2 linked regions of the Macaca mulatta genome follow. The protein of the gene in region 2 purifies or fractionates together with the protein of the main gene of each other region. This does not show direct contact. Links are inferred from orthologs where the notes say so. Each region holds a gene or a part of one and is shown on either strand. Other genes may lie near its edges.

Region 1 (7,325 bases), on a different chromosome or scaffold from region 2:
CGGGGTGCTGCTGGTTCTTCCTGTGGGTAAGAGGAGAGCATGAGGGGGGCTGGCTCACAGGCTCAGACCTTACTCTCATCCTCATTCCATCCAACAAAGCAAGGGCCTGGAGGCCAGAGAGCAGCCAAGAGACACCCAGGCAGAGTCTCCAGCCAGCCAAACACAGAGAAGGAGAAACGTAGGCAGAGAGAGACAGCCACAGACAAGAACATCAGGAACAATCAAAAGAGAAATATTCCAATAGCATGTTTCTCTCTGTACTTGCTTCACAAAAGGAGAGAACAGATTTTGCCACAGAAAGACAGATGCAGAAAGAGACAGAGATAAAGGCAGAGTGAGAAGGTAGAGAAACAGAAAGTCAGGGGAGAGGCCAACTCAGACATAGCCCATTGGGCCAGGATGGATGGTCTCCCCGTCCACCGCACGTCTGACCATTAGTTCCCTGTCCACTCACCAGAGGGGGCCTCAGCGCAGCCATGGAGCCCAGCGGGGGACCTGGAGCCCGAGCCATTGGTGGCAGCATCATGGGTGGTCCAGGGGGCCCAGGCAGAGGGGGGCCCACAAGGGCCTGGTGAGGGGGCCGTAGGGCCATAGGGCGGGGGCCGGCTGCTGCAGAGGAGAGAGCAGAATCTGTCAGGGTGTTAGTGGGGAGTTCCAGGGCCTGGGGGGAGTTATGTGGCAGGGATGATGACCCTGGCCCCTCACCTGCTCTCTGTAGCACGTGGGGGACGAAGGCTGGACGCAGGATAGGGGCCCTCTGGGGGGCCACAGCTGTGGGAGAGAGAGATGGGGGTGTGTGTCATGGGGGACAGGGGCACTTGGGGCAAAGTGTGTGTGCATGTGTGCGTGTATGTGTGTGCACTCTCAGCATACAAGAAATCCTGGAGAAGAGTCTGGGGAGCCCTCCTGGGGAGTCCTGGGGGCCTCTCCCCTGGTTCACTGCATGAAAATTTACCACTGAGGAGCTCCTCCGGCTCAGCCCTGTGGCAGGCAATGCTGGGGACACACCCACAGACCCAGGGTTCTCAGGGAGCTCCTGGTCCAGAGGAGCGAATGGAGACATCACTAGAGAACGAGAGACAATGGGGACCAGGGCTGGAAGTGGGGAAGCTCAGGCAGCGGGATCAGTGCTAAGAGAGGGGAGCCCTCTGACCCAGCCAGGCCTAGGGAAGGCTTCCTGGAGAAAGGGACCTGTGAGCTGAGACCCGAGGGACAATGAAGTGTTAGGCAAAGGGTGACTGCGAATATTATTGGCAGGGAGAACACTTATAAGCAAAACCTTTCCCTTTTCAGTTTAGTGTAACTGTAATAGAAGAAGCGGGGCTTAGAGAGTGTCATGAGAAGGGCTAAGCGGCCAGCAGACACCCAAGTAGAACTGTTTTGTTTTGAAAGCACAGCATTCTTGGCTGAACCATGGGTGTCCTCCTGAGGGCACTGGGGAGCCACAGCGGGTTGGAAGCTGGGCAGGGGGAGTAGGTCAGATTTGCATTTTGATCAAAACCATACTAAAAACTAAGAGACATTACAACTTCTCAGAGATCATCAGATTAAAAAGTTTAACAGGGTTTAGGTAACATAAGTAGCATGTTTGGTTTAACAAAGATTATACCAGAATTTTACATCCAAATAAGAACACGCATCCTTTTCATACATATAAGGAAGTAATGTCCTACAAGTTGACAGCGTGAGTAAAGGTTATTTGAAGAACAGAAGGTGGAATGTGGAAAATGGCCTGCGGGGGAGGATGGCTGGAAGATTACAGCTGGGTGACAGTGAGCAGGGAGAGAAGGGACCTTAACAAAAGCACTGCTAGCACATCCCAGAAATGTTCGGGCTGCTGGGGATCTCTCCCTGCAAGAAGCAAGGTCATGTAGGGTTGTGACTGCCAGGGGAAGAGCCTGGTGCTTGTCTCAACAGTCTGTTCATCCCATCAACAGACAGAACATAATGCTTCCTATGTGGCAGGTACTGAGACTTCTGCCCCTCATGGAGCTTGTATTTCAGAGAATGCAAAAGATGATAGCCATAGTCAATAAGAAATGACACAGCTTATTATGAGGTGTTAAGTGCTGTGGCAATTTGGAATTAGGACTGACAGCAGGAGGGTTGGTTTGCAGTGATCAGGTTAAAACAAAATTGACTTGACATCATCAGGAAGGACATGATCAGGTTTGTGCTTTAGGATGACAACATCAAGTTGGGATGAAATGCAAAGGGTGATTTAGAGCAAGGATTCAGGCAAGAGGCTGAAGTCATGTAAACAAGAGTGCCTGATTAAATGTGGGGGTCCCTGACCCCAGACTCACCTGCCCGCCGCAGGAACATGGCTTCTCGAGCCTCTGGACTGTCCAGGTGACTCCGATCACCAGGGCCAAAGCCAACTGTTGGGAGGGAAGAGGCAAGGATGGTGGGAGGAGAGTCCTGGGCACACCTTTTTACCACCCTGCCTGATTGCCCAACCCCCTCACCTTGCCACTCTTTACTTACCGGGGCCTACAAAAGGAGGGCCACCCACCATGGGAGGAACTACTGTGGCTGCAGCAGCTGCCCGGGCCTCCAGAGTCTGCTGGACCTGTCGGGGAAGAGGTCAGGGTGAGGGGCCTGACTCAGCCTTCCCCATCTGCTGAGGCTAGCTCACCCCAAGAGACCAAGAGCTTCATGCTTTATGTTCTGTATGTGACTGGCTATCTCAGGTCTCAGCTACAATGCCACTTCTCGGGGAGGCTTTTGGGATCACACTAGGGCTCTCTGAGCAGCAGCTTCTCTCACCACCTTATTTCGTCTTCCCCACAGCACTTAGCACCGACTGCAACTGTGTCCAACCTCCTCCCCATCTAACATGCACAACCTCCATCCAAGCCACCATTAGCTCCTGTCTAGATTACCGTACTAGCCCCTTCCTCCATCTCCTGGCTTCTGCCCTTGTCTTTTACAGTCTATTCCTTTTTTTTGAGATGGAGTCTCGCTCTGTCGCCCAGGCTGGAGTGCAGTGGTACAAGCTTGGCTCACTGCAACCTCCGCCTCCTGGGTTCAAGTGATTTTCCTGCCTCAGCCTCCTGAGTAGCTGGGACTACAGAAGTCCGCCGACACGCCCGGCTAATTTTTGTATTTTTAGTAGAGATGGGGTTTCACCATGTTGGCCAGGCTGGTCTTGAACTCCTGACCTCGTGATCCACCTGCCTTGGCCTCCCACAGTGCTGGGATTACAGGCAAGAGCAACTGTGCCTGGCTGCCAGGGTTCTTAAAATGGCTGTAAGGCTCTCCAAGATTTGGCCTCACCTCTCTGTCCTTATTTCCTCCCACTTTCCTCTTTGCTCACTCCACTGTCACTGGTCTCCTCGCTCTGTCACCAGTCTCAAGTGCAGTGGTGCAATCTTGGCTCACTGCAACCTCCGCTTCCCAGGTTCAAGTGATTCTCCTGCCTCAGCCTCCCAAGTAGCTGGGACTATAGGCGCGTGCCACCACACCCAGCTAATTTTTGTATTTTTAGTAGAGACGGGGTTTCACCATGTTGGCCAAGATGGATCTCCTGACCTTGTGATCTGCCTGTCTCAGCCTCCCAAAGTGCTGGGATTACAGGTGTGAGCCACCGCACCCAGCGCCCAGCCTATTCTCAATAATTTCTCTCTTTCTCTACTAGTCATATATAGCTGGCTACTGAGCACTTGAAATGTGACTGAGAATAACGAACTATTAAATATGAATTTAAAATATATCAGAACATTCTCATCATTGCAGAAAGCTCTACTGGACAACATGCTCTAGAATATAAGCGCCCAAAGGGCAGAAATGTCTCCCTCAGTCATTACTGTGTTCTCAGTGCCTGGCACATAAAATATTTGTCATGCTAATTAGTCAACAAGCTAAAACGTCAACAGCTCTCTACACAAACACCTACCGTGTTCGAGGCATTGTGTTCCCTAACTTATATGCCTTAGCTCAGCCGTACCTGCTGGTATGTGTTGGTCGCGATAATTGGACGGATCACAGGAGCCGCTGGGACCTGCATCGCTTCTACCGTGGGGACCGTGGGGACCGTGGGCACCGCAGGCACAGCAGTTGGGATTCCGGGTACTGGAGCCCCCAGAACTTCCTGCTCAAACCTGGAGGAGAAGAACAGACACCAGCGCTCAGGACCTCGTACCAATTTTGTAACTCTGGGTATATCGCGAGGGGACCCTCACCCCTGCCAACCTCTCCCCTATCCCCGCCCCCACAATCCCGAAGGTCCCACTTCCCCATGTTAGAGCCGTATCTCTGGCCTATCGAGGCCTGGAGGCTCCGGGATTCGGTGGCTCTGGCTCTGGGACGACTTTTATTACTCCCTGTCGCGGGCCTTACAGGGCCATCTCCGCCTCCATTTCCTTCAAGCGTTCCTCGCCGCTCTTGCCCGGGATGCCAGCGCCAGGACCCGGGACCACGGGTCCTCCTGCACCCGGGAGTCCCGGGGCTGGCCCCGCCCCAGCCATCGCTGCCGCCGTCGTTGTCGCCGCTACTACTGTCTCAGCTTAGCTGCCGCCGCTGGTTCTGCTGTCTACTCTCAGCCTTCGTCTGGGTGGGCTCCCGACGATGACGTCCAGCGAAAGCGACGGGCGGTGGCGCATGACGTCATACGTTCGGACGCGAGAGCCAATGAGATTTTTCCACACCCTCAGGGGACTACAGGCCAATCAGAGTGAGAGAAGGACACAAGAACGCAAGAACCTGGGCCTATGAGAGCACAGCGAAGAGAGGCGGCCCCGCCTTCCTGGCGGCCCACGGGCTAATGAGAGCGAAGCAAAGTCAGTTGGGCCCATCCCCAATGTGGAATCTGGACCTTTGAGAACGCAGGAAACTTCGGAGGACCGTCCTGTGCCACCGCGGAGCCTGCGCCGGAAGTTTAAAAAGACGCTAAAGTCTGCGTCAACCCCAGGATTGGGCAAGGCTGGGAGGCCTGGGGTCCCCAGGTTGACACCCGACCTGTGGTTCCCACGAAGACCAGAGACGCCCAGGAGGAAGCGCCTGACCCGGGCTTCCTGGACGACAGCTGAAGACTTTTGAGGAGGCTGTTCAGTGTGGGAGTCAAGGCCCAGAGACTAGTGCAACTCAGAGGAGCACGTCCGTGGGCTTGGTCCCTGTCCTTTCTTGGGCCACAGCTGACCCTTTTTTTTTTTTTTTCTTTTTATCCCCGTAGCCCTCACAAGTGTTTTATTCTGAGTATTTTCAAACATGCACATTAGGGGGAATAGTATAACGAACTCTTAAGTACCTCTCAAACGCTACCAATATTCAACACGTCTGGATTTCACTTGATCTATTCTTCTCTTTGTCACGCGCGTCCGTGTGAAGAGAGCACCAATTGGGCAGACTTTGTGTGGGCAACAAGGCTGTTTATTTCACCTGGGTGCAGGCGGACTGAGTCCGAAAAAGGAGTCAGCAAAGATTGGTGGGATTATCATTAGTTCTTACAGGTTTGGGATAGGCGTACAAAGTACATTCTCAAGGGCGGGGAGAATGTTACAAAGTACCTTAAGGGCAGGGGAGAATGTTACAAAGTACCTTTTTAAGGGCAGGGGAGAATATTACAAAGTACCTTCTTAAAGGTGGGCGGAGAATATATCGTTTCAGTTAGGGTGGGGTAGGAACAAATCACAATGGTGGAATGTCATCAGTTAAGGCTATTTTCACTTTTGTGGATCTTCAGTTGCTTAAAGCCATCTGGATGTATACCTGCAGGTCACAGGGGATATGATGGCTTAGCTTGGGCTCAGAGGTCTGACACTCTTATTTTGTATTTTAATTTTAATTTATGTATTTGTTTTGAGACAGTCTCGCTGTCACCCAGGCTGCAGTGCAGGTGCCATCTCAGCTCACTGCAACCTCCACCTCCCAGGTTCAGTCTATTCTCCTGCCCCAGCTTCTGGAGTAGCTGGGATTACAGGCTTGTGCCTCCATGCCTGGCTCATTTTTGTATTTTTAGAGGAGATGGGGTTTCACCATGTTGACCAGGGTGGTCTCAAATTCCTGACCTCAAGTGATCTGTCCACCTCAGCTTCCCAAAGTGCTGGGATTACAGGCGTGAGCCACCATGCCTGGCCTTTTATTTTTGTTATTATTTTTTGAGACAGCCCAATCAACCTTTCCCCTAATAGTTTTAGTAGCCCTTCATCATCATTACTTGTATCCATCACTTAATTAATTCATGGCAAATAGTGGTTTTTGAATTCTAGTATTTTCTCTGAAGTTATTAGTTGTGATTCTTCCATAAATAACCTCTTCATCAGAAATTTGGTTACTTAGGCCGGGCACAGTGGCTCACACCTATAATCCCAGCACTCTGGGAGACTGAGGCAGGCAGATTATCTGAGGTCAGGAGTTCGAGACCAGATTGGCCAACATGGCGAAACCCAGTCTCTAGTAAAAATACAAAAATTAGCTGGGCATGGTGGCACGCTCCTGTAATCCCAGCTACTTGGGAGGCTGAAGCAGGGGAATCACTTGAACCCAGGAGGCACAGGTTGCAGTGAGCCAAAATCTCACCACTGCCCTCCAGCCTGGGCGACAGCACGAGACCCTGTCTCAAAAAAACAAACAAGCAAACAAAAAAATTGGTTACTTGTACGTATAAGAAAAATAGAGAACATGCTTCTTTTATATATAAAATTTTTCAAAATAATGAATGGGTGCCTAGTATTCTTCAAAGGTGATTTCAATGAGGTATATGAGTATCAACATGAACTTACAGATTCAGGCATATTTGATGTGCTTCAAACCACTGTGGTTCTTTTTACTGCTCAACATGCCCCACCTTTGGCCAGTGAGAGCCGTTCAGACTGGCTCCTGAGTTCCTTTGACTTGGCCACAGTAGTCTTGGAGGACTTCTTTGCTTCCTGGCACAAAATATCCTGTACACATTTTGCACATTTCTTGCCCCAGACCTAGAATCAGCTGTTTTCACAAGAGTCCCTAGTTCTTAGTCAGAAATGGCACTTAAGAGACCACAGTCGGCCGGGCGCGGTGGCTCAAGCCTGTAATCCCAGCACTTTGGGAGGCCGAGGTGGGCGGATCACGAGGTCAGGAGATCGAGACCATCCTGACTGACACGGTGAAACCCCGTCTCTACTAAAAAATACAAAAAACTAGCCGGGCGAGGTGGTGGGCGCCTGTAGTCCCAGCTACTGGGGAGGCTGAGGCAGGAGAATTGTGTGAACCCGGGAGGCGGAGCTTGCAGTGAGCTGAGATCCGGCCACTGCACTCCAGCCTGGGCAGCAGAGCGAGACTCCGTCTCAAAAAAAAAAAAAAAAAAGAGACCACAGTCTGTATACTAGTGCTGCTCAGTTACTGGG
Region 2 (7,470 bases):
CCACGGACCAAATACATAAATAAATAAAATACAGACAATAAACTTGTTTTAAACTTCTATTTAGTTTGCCAAGTTATTCTCCCCCTCATAAGCATTTTCTATAACTGACTTGGAAATCATTTGGGCAACCATTATTCCCGTCACTTTTCAAGATATCAGTCTCTTAATAAAAAGTTTTAAATTTAAAAAATGTTAGGCAAGTGATACATTTTGGCTTTTAAAATACCAAAGAAAATACCAGCAGCCATTCATAATAACCAAGCAAATCAACACACTCACTAGATATGGCCCCTCACAAAAGTGAGGGCCACACTTTGTTATCCTATCTAATCTGAAAAAACAAAAAAGCAATTAAGACTCATAATTCTATGGAATCACAAATCTGAAAGGAAAATATGGCATTTAGGATTATTAGAGAACATCACCTCAGTTTAAAACAGCCATTTAACCAGAAAGTGTCATCTTTTAGTCTCAACTGCAGGCACACAAAAAGGGCCATCTTCCCCTATTAAACAGTTTAAAAATTTATAGCATGTAAGTGTATATATGTTTGTACACACTCCCACATCTCTAAGTACTTCCAAGTTAGGAAACAGTTACTTATTATGCATGGAGACAGTCCTCTAAAAAATCTGCCCTAACAACTATCTTTATTGTCAAATAATCTTTAAAAACCAAATCCACACACATAAGACCCCTTTTAAGCAGTATGTAAGAAATAAGAAACTTGTGACACTAAGTGATAGCTGAAGCATTTACTAATTTCCCCCTTTACTGCTTTTCCTGTAATGTTTGAAACCCCACAAAGGCAACCAATGTAAATTACTAGTGCCCTTAAGGATCAATAGATGGATGATTAAATTAATGACTTTAAGATTGTTGGTATGCTCTAATTCCCAATTTCTGACAAAGTCATAAAGCAGCTGAGGAATTGGTTTTACAAGATTTTAAGCTGCTTCACTTTGGTTCTAAGAAAGTAGAACACCATCAGGACACACCCAATTGTTCAATTGCCTGTAACTGGAGCCAAACAGTAACTATCAGTCTCTTCAATAGAATTTTGAAGTTCATTCCCAGCAAATACAAGACAGACTACAAATGTTAGACCTTACACCAAGGTATTTAAATAAATGTCATCAGTAATAAAGTGTACTGGGGTGGAGTTAAGGAGCCAGTCCTTGCAATAATATCCAAGCCACACACACCCAAGTGAACAATAGTTGGCGTCCCCACCCAATATCAATATTAAGCTTACAGAATCTTAGAAACTTAGATTAAACTCACCTAATGAAAAAGACTGACATTTAAAAATGCAAGCTTCTTTTGATATACTTATGTATAACCTGCAAGCTCATTAACTGCACTAGTTTCAGGCATCCATTCTGTTTTAGAAAATTCCTGGTCTACACTCTCAATGACATTCTGCTATCAATTCTCAAGTTCTTCAAATGGGCAAGAGAAGCTACAAAATTAATTCATAAAACATAAACATTAAATATCTGTCTAAAGTATGTCAAGCATTATGTCACAATGTGTTGTCAAAACCACAGAACACAATCAGGTTAACCTTCCTACTATCTGCAGGGATTTTGTTTACAGATATATTCCCAGTAAATAGGACAGTAGAATCTCAAAACGGGTATTGTCCATTCAACACTTTTCCTGTATTTACATGCTTGTATTTTATGCAACTTAATAAGAGTGCTCTGAAATACTGACCTAAGGAAAATGTTGATTGCTAATATGGAATAGTTTTCCCATGGAAAGACTTATTGAATGGTGAACTTAAGTCTTAGTTCTAACTTCATGAAATCATTCCCCACATTTGTCACTTAAAATACTTTTCAGGTAAGAGCTTATTTCTTAGATGGGCTTCATGATCAAAATAACTCAGGCATTTAAACATGCTTCATGTTTTGAACATTCAAAATGAGTGAACACATCTACCTGGTACACACTATTCGTCAGACTCAACTTTTTGGTTTACTTTCTTAAGCTTAAGCATAGTTTAAATAATTACACAAGTCAGCGTTACTTAACACACGAATTAAATGATTTATTTAGGTGTGTTAGATTGCCATAAAGCTTAATTGGCTGAAGAGATACTTGGCCTAAGTGATGTACATGCTTTCTAATACTCCAACTGTGTTTCTCCTCAACCTATAATTTTACCACAAGAATTATTTTCTTTCATTCACCACCTAGGACCGAGGTTCTTCATTCTAAGCCTCATAAAAGTCCTCAAAAAAAAAAAAAAAAAAACCACAAAAACCAATAAACCTCCTAAAACAAATCCCACCACGAGGAAATTGTTTTGATTTTCAAAATTAGTTGAATGTCACAGAAGTCAACAAAAGCTAATGAGAACTCCTTTCAGAGAAGCACGTGGCAGGAAGGGGTAATTTCAACTTTCAACATATAAATACAGCTTTAAAGATTCAGACCTTAGGTCCGACACCTGCTTGCTATTGATCATGCACGTTCTTATCTTCGAACTACTTGCTCTTTTTCATCCGTAACAAACTGGTAATGAGAATGCAAAAATCAAGACAATCCTGTGAAACTCACAGTGCCCTGGAAGCAACTATTAACCGCCAGTGAAACTCTCACCATGCTTCACGCACATGTGGAGGGGGAAAAAAAAAGCTGCAGACTCTAAAGAGCTCTGCTGCGACTAACGCTGTGACAGCCTCTGCACTCACTTTACCCACGAGGCCCAGAGTCCACCATGTGAAAGACTCAGTTTGGGGAGTCGAGAGAGAGAGGATCGTGACTCGAGGACTTTCCTCGGGACGTCCTGCGATCACCAGTCTTCATTCATAATTCCCGCTTCTGCTTAGTCGAGTGTGGCCAAACTCCTCCATTTCCCAACAGCTCAACTCACCCCAGCAAGTTCTGAGAAAGTCCTAACAGTTGAGAGGTGGAGGAGAAACAATAAAGCACACGCGGCACCCCAACCTGCGGCTGACTCCACACGTCCGATGGCCTGGAACGACCCCCTGCTTTTCGGCGGGGATACTCCGCGCCGTCGTGGGACAAGATGGCAGGACAGGAGCCTGAAACAACAGCACCTCAAAGGAGCAGCTCTGCGCAGTAAGCAGCGATGGACCCCGAGCCCCTCCGTAACTACGGCAAGCGTCGGTGAGCGGCCGGCTTCCCCGCACCTCAGTCCATGCGCTCGCCCGCCAAGGAATCCGGCGGGAAGGCAACAGCCTCCCCGGACCCCGAGCGCGCTCGAGGAGCAGCTCATCTCCGACCACGCTCCTCCGCTCACAACCTAAGGCGGGAAGGGGGTGGCTCCGAGAGCCTCGCCGGCGGTGGCTTCAACTTGGGGCTACCACGCTCCTGGCACCTTCGCAGGACCTGGCTTTTGTCGCGTGAAGAAACGTGAGGAAATAGGCGGCAAAGTCTCCCGCGGACCCTCGGAGCTCCAGAAACAAGTGGTAGCCGGCAGCCCTCTCGCTCCTTCCCTCCATCCCAGTCTCCCCCACATTCTGCCCCTGCTTTACCTTCTTTCTTAAGCGCCACGGGCGGCTGCGTCTCCTCTTTCTTGTCAACCACGCCAACGCTGGGGGGCAGCGGGTTCTTGCGGTCTTTCTGGGACTCCTTGCGCAGCTGTTTGCCTGCCGCGTTGGAGTTGGTCTGGGCCGCGGCCTGAGCTGCGCTCTTGGCCCCGGGGCCCCCAACGCCGCCCCCGCCGGCTTCTTTTTTCTTGTTCTCCGCTGCCTTCAGCACCTCGAAGGGGTCCGATTCGTCGTCAAATAACTGGTCGAATCGGTTGGTGACCACGCAGCCGAAGCCTTCCTGTAAGTGCCCAGGCATGATGGTGGCTCGGCGGCGCGTTCCTCCACGGATTGCAGCGGGCCGCGCCGAGCCAAGAGCGCCTGCTTCAGCTCTTCCCACAAGATGGCCGGGCCGAGAGAGGGGGGCCGTCTTCTCTTCCGGCGCCAGGCACACATCCGGGAGCGGCCAGCGCCGCAAGGCACTGTGGGGTGTGTAGGCCAGAGTAGTTTCTCCTGAGGCGACTCCCTGCGTTGGGACTACAATTCCCAGGATGCACCGCGCGACAACTCTTCGCGCGCGCCCGAGAGGCGGGACCCCAAGAAGGGAGTGAAGCGTGCGAGCTGAAGGAGGGGAAGCGTGGTGGTGGGCGGAGTCCTGCCACCTGCTCTGGTCGCCCTTAAACTCTGTAGGTCTTCAGCTACCCTGAAACCAGAAAAACGTGACGGCGTAGCTGACTCGCGAAAGTGCTCTTTGGTTTCACTCACGCTCCCTCGGGCTCAGGCTAACTTTCCCCACCGCTCCGGGAAGGGTCAAGGTGACTCCCAGACCTTACATCTGAGACGCACAAACTTCCGGGGGAGGGGGTGTTGCTGAGACGCCGCGCCGGCAGCGAGTAGGCTGGACCCTGCCTGTGCCAAGTCCGAGCAGCTCAGTCGCTGGAGTGCCCTTTTGTCAGGCTCCACGGTGAATCGAGGCTCTTCTGTCTAATGTGAGGTGGAATACGTTTCCTCTCGCGGGGACGTGAACTAGGGTAGCAGAACTAACCAAAAAGACAAGTGAAACTATCACATGGGAGTGTGGCGCGTCTTTCCCGGGCTTCTCACCGTGTGGCGGCCGGTGTCGTAGGAGTGGTTAACTCCTGACTGTGCAGCGCTAGACACTGGGCAAGCCGCTAGGAAGCACTGTTTACAGAAACGCTGTTACAGTCATTCCAATTAATTGTCCGTTCGTGTCCGGCAAGTCAGGGCTTAGGTGGCTGTGGTGTTAGTCACATGCGCTCAATAAATACCATTTTAGAGCATTTCGAGTGCGTGTGTGCTAGGAGTTGCGGTGAGGGGTGGGAAATATTGAAGTCAATACTTAATAATAACAAAGCATTGATACTAGTTGAGAATATTAAAGTTCATTAAAAGAATACAGTTTGAATGCATTTTAAGCACATTTGGTAGCACCGTGTTTAAATATATCATAATTTTTAAATCCTTTTCCATTAACACAAAATAGCAAATGCATCTCTGGCAGGAGCTATGAATAACCTTGAACTCAACATTGTGTTAGGCAAATAGTTGCCTCTTTTCACAAATGCTGAAACCACTTCAGAGATGAAATGATTTACCAAATTCACACCTCTGTAAGTGCTAGTGACAGGTATTAGCCCAGCCTTCTACCTCCACTAGGAGACCGGACATCAGCTCTTTAATTCAGACTCTGCACTGATAGAAAGCTGTCCAATGTTTAAGTTTCCGATATGATTTAAACATGGTTGTGTGTCAGGGTATGTAACATGGCGGAATGTAATCATCAATTTCCGAGCAGATTTTAAATCAATTCCTTAGCAGGGAAAATAGAAGACACGAGTCATATTACATACATGTGGCAGCAAACCTCCTGGTTTTCTTATTTCTCAATCCTCCCCTACTCTTCAGAGCCACTTACTTCCCTGCTGCCTCAGTCCTACCCACCCCAACCTCAAACACACCCCCTATCTCATCCTCTCTTTCACAGGCTCTGGCTCTGTGGCACCTACCAAGACAAGGAGCTTTTGACCATACTCTTCCCACCTTTTCGAAATAGCTCAAGTGCAATGTAGAAGATCTCCACATTTTGACAGATCCTCTCTCTTCACGGGCTGTTGCATCTTTGAGACTATCTGCATCTTTGAGACATCTGTGAAAGCTCCCCTTCTTACCTCTTTCTGGCCACGGCCACAGTAACGATATTCATAGCCAAAATGTGATGTTTTAGTATGTGCTTGGTGCACTTTACGTATGTGATCTCCTTTAAACCTTACATCAGCTCTATAAGAAAGTTATTACTCCATACCCCCCCCCAAAAAAGGTTATTACTTCTGTTTTAAGATGAAGAAAATGAAAACAAAGAGCTTAAGTAAGTTAACTACTCCTGCCACAATCGGGGGCTGGAGCAGGCCTGTTGTTAGTCATTTTTTTCCTCCATTACAGATTTCTGGTTTGCTCAGACAGATCTTCGTGACCACCAAGCATTATTATAATAAGAATATTTGAAAATAAGCTACACTTAGAGAAATTTTCGGCTATGAATTTATGAGGTTCATTTATGCTCCTCAGAGAATTTACCTATTAAGATTACATAAAAATGTTATGAATAAGCATTTGAAGAAAAGGGGAGAATCTTTTATATTTCTGAAAAGTTTTAAAGTCCATTTTTAAAGTATACAAATAAAGCTCAAGATGGTCTTTTACATCTCTCAATCGTTATTTTATAACTAGTTATTTTCAGTTTCCTTTATTCTACAAAGTTGAAATATTAATTTCTTAATATTAAATATTAAAATTCTAAAAGTTCTTGCTACTCTCACTAGGAAAACATCAGCCAAATAATCCTCAAGGGAAGAGAAATTTCCCGGCAGACACTAGTATTCAAATTAAAGGCATGATTTATAAAAGCGACAAGTGTCAGGCGGTATCACTGATTAGACATGTGGCCTAAAATGTCATCTCTCTGTAGCAATATTTGAATCACATCTTCTTCTCTGAAAAATACTCATGAAACTTAACAGTCTTATCTACAACAAGCCTCTCTGAAGGGTTTTCTAGCAATAAATGCTGAAAACCATGATTAAATATCCAATGTAGTTGCCTGATGTTAACGAAATGGAGAAACAATATTATATATCTCCTTCTTCCTGCCTTCATTTACTTTCAGGATCCTAATGCAATATTCAGTTCTCAGCCACATTACAACTTGCTTTCATCCATTTCTTCATAATCTCAACCCCCTGTTATTGTTGCTATAAATAATAGTAATAATTAACAATTGCTGTACTACATTTTTTTCTACCCATGTTCAGGTGATTCTCCTGCCTCAGCATCCGGATTAGCTGGGATTACAGGCGTGTGCCACCACGCCCGGCTAACTTTTTGTATTTTTAGTGGAGACAGGGTTTCACCATGTTGGCCAGGCTGGTCTTGAACTCCCAACCTCAAGTGATCCACCCGTCTTGGCCTCCCAAAGTGTTGGAATTACAGGCATGAGCCACTGCACCGGGTCTACTTACTACCATTTGCACATTTGTTACGCAGTAGACACTGCTAAGTATTAAATATTAAATAGCTTACATGCATTATTTCATTTAATTTTCAGAATAACATTATGAAGTAAAAAGTAGTATTACCTCTATCCCCCTTTTATAGATAGGGAACCTGAGGTTAAGTGCCCCTCCCAAATTCACATTGACTGAAAGAGTCTGGCAGTCTGATCTTACAGCCTGGGCACCCAGTGGTAACAAGGAAGAGGAAAAAGTCCTTCATCTTTAAATTGCTACCACGTGTAGCAAAATCAAACTATTCTAACAGTTTGGGGACACTGGATATAGGTATCACATCAATGTAAATAGACTAATTTTTAGTGTATTCAATATATAATGTATTTTTAAAACAAAACCAGTAAAGGTGGTTCTTGTGAAGAAAAGGACAAATCCCCTATGAC

Evidence for each region. Proteins that work in one complex are often made in the same cells at the same time.
Region 1: the proteins of SERBP1 (region 2) and RBM42 purify together in Homo sapiens (affinity purification with mass spectrometry; 3 studies listed by BioGRID and IntAct, with this or other methods). This does not show direct contact. The link is inferred for Macaca mulatta from reciprocal best matches to the Homo sapiens genes SERBP1 and RBM42.

What each region holds. Positions count from the first base shown.
Region 1 is NC_133424.1:46,887,289-46,894,613, reverse strand, and holds the start of RBM42 (RNA-binding protein 42), read right to left. Parts: upstream 4,594-7,325; 5' UTR 4,470-4,593; coding exon 4,342-4,469; intron 4,104-4,341; coding exon 3,950-4,103; intron 2,573-3,949; coding exon 2,488-2,572; intron 2,382-2,487; coding exon 2,307-2,381; intron 772-2,306; coding exon 706-771; intron 631-705; coding exon 455-630; intron 21-454; coding exon 1-20. UniProt on the Homo sapiens protein: Binds (via the RRM domain) to the 3'-untranslated region (UTR) of CDKN1A mRNA.
Region 2 is NC_133406.1:173,175,575-173,183,044, reverse strand, and holds the start of SERBP1 (SERPINE1 mRNA-binding protein 1), read right to left. Parts: upstream 3,925-7,470; 5' UTR 3,823-3,924; coding exon 3,510-3,822; intron 1-3,509. UniProt on the Homo sapiens protein: Ribosome-binding protein that promotes ribosome hibernation, a process during which ribosomes are stabilized in an inactive state and preserved from proteasomal degradation.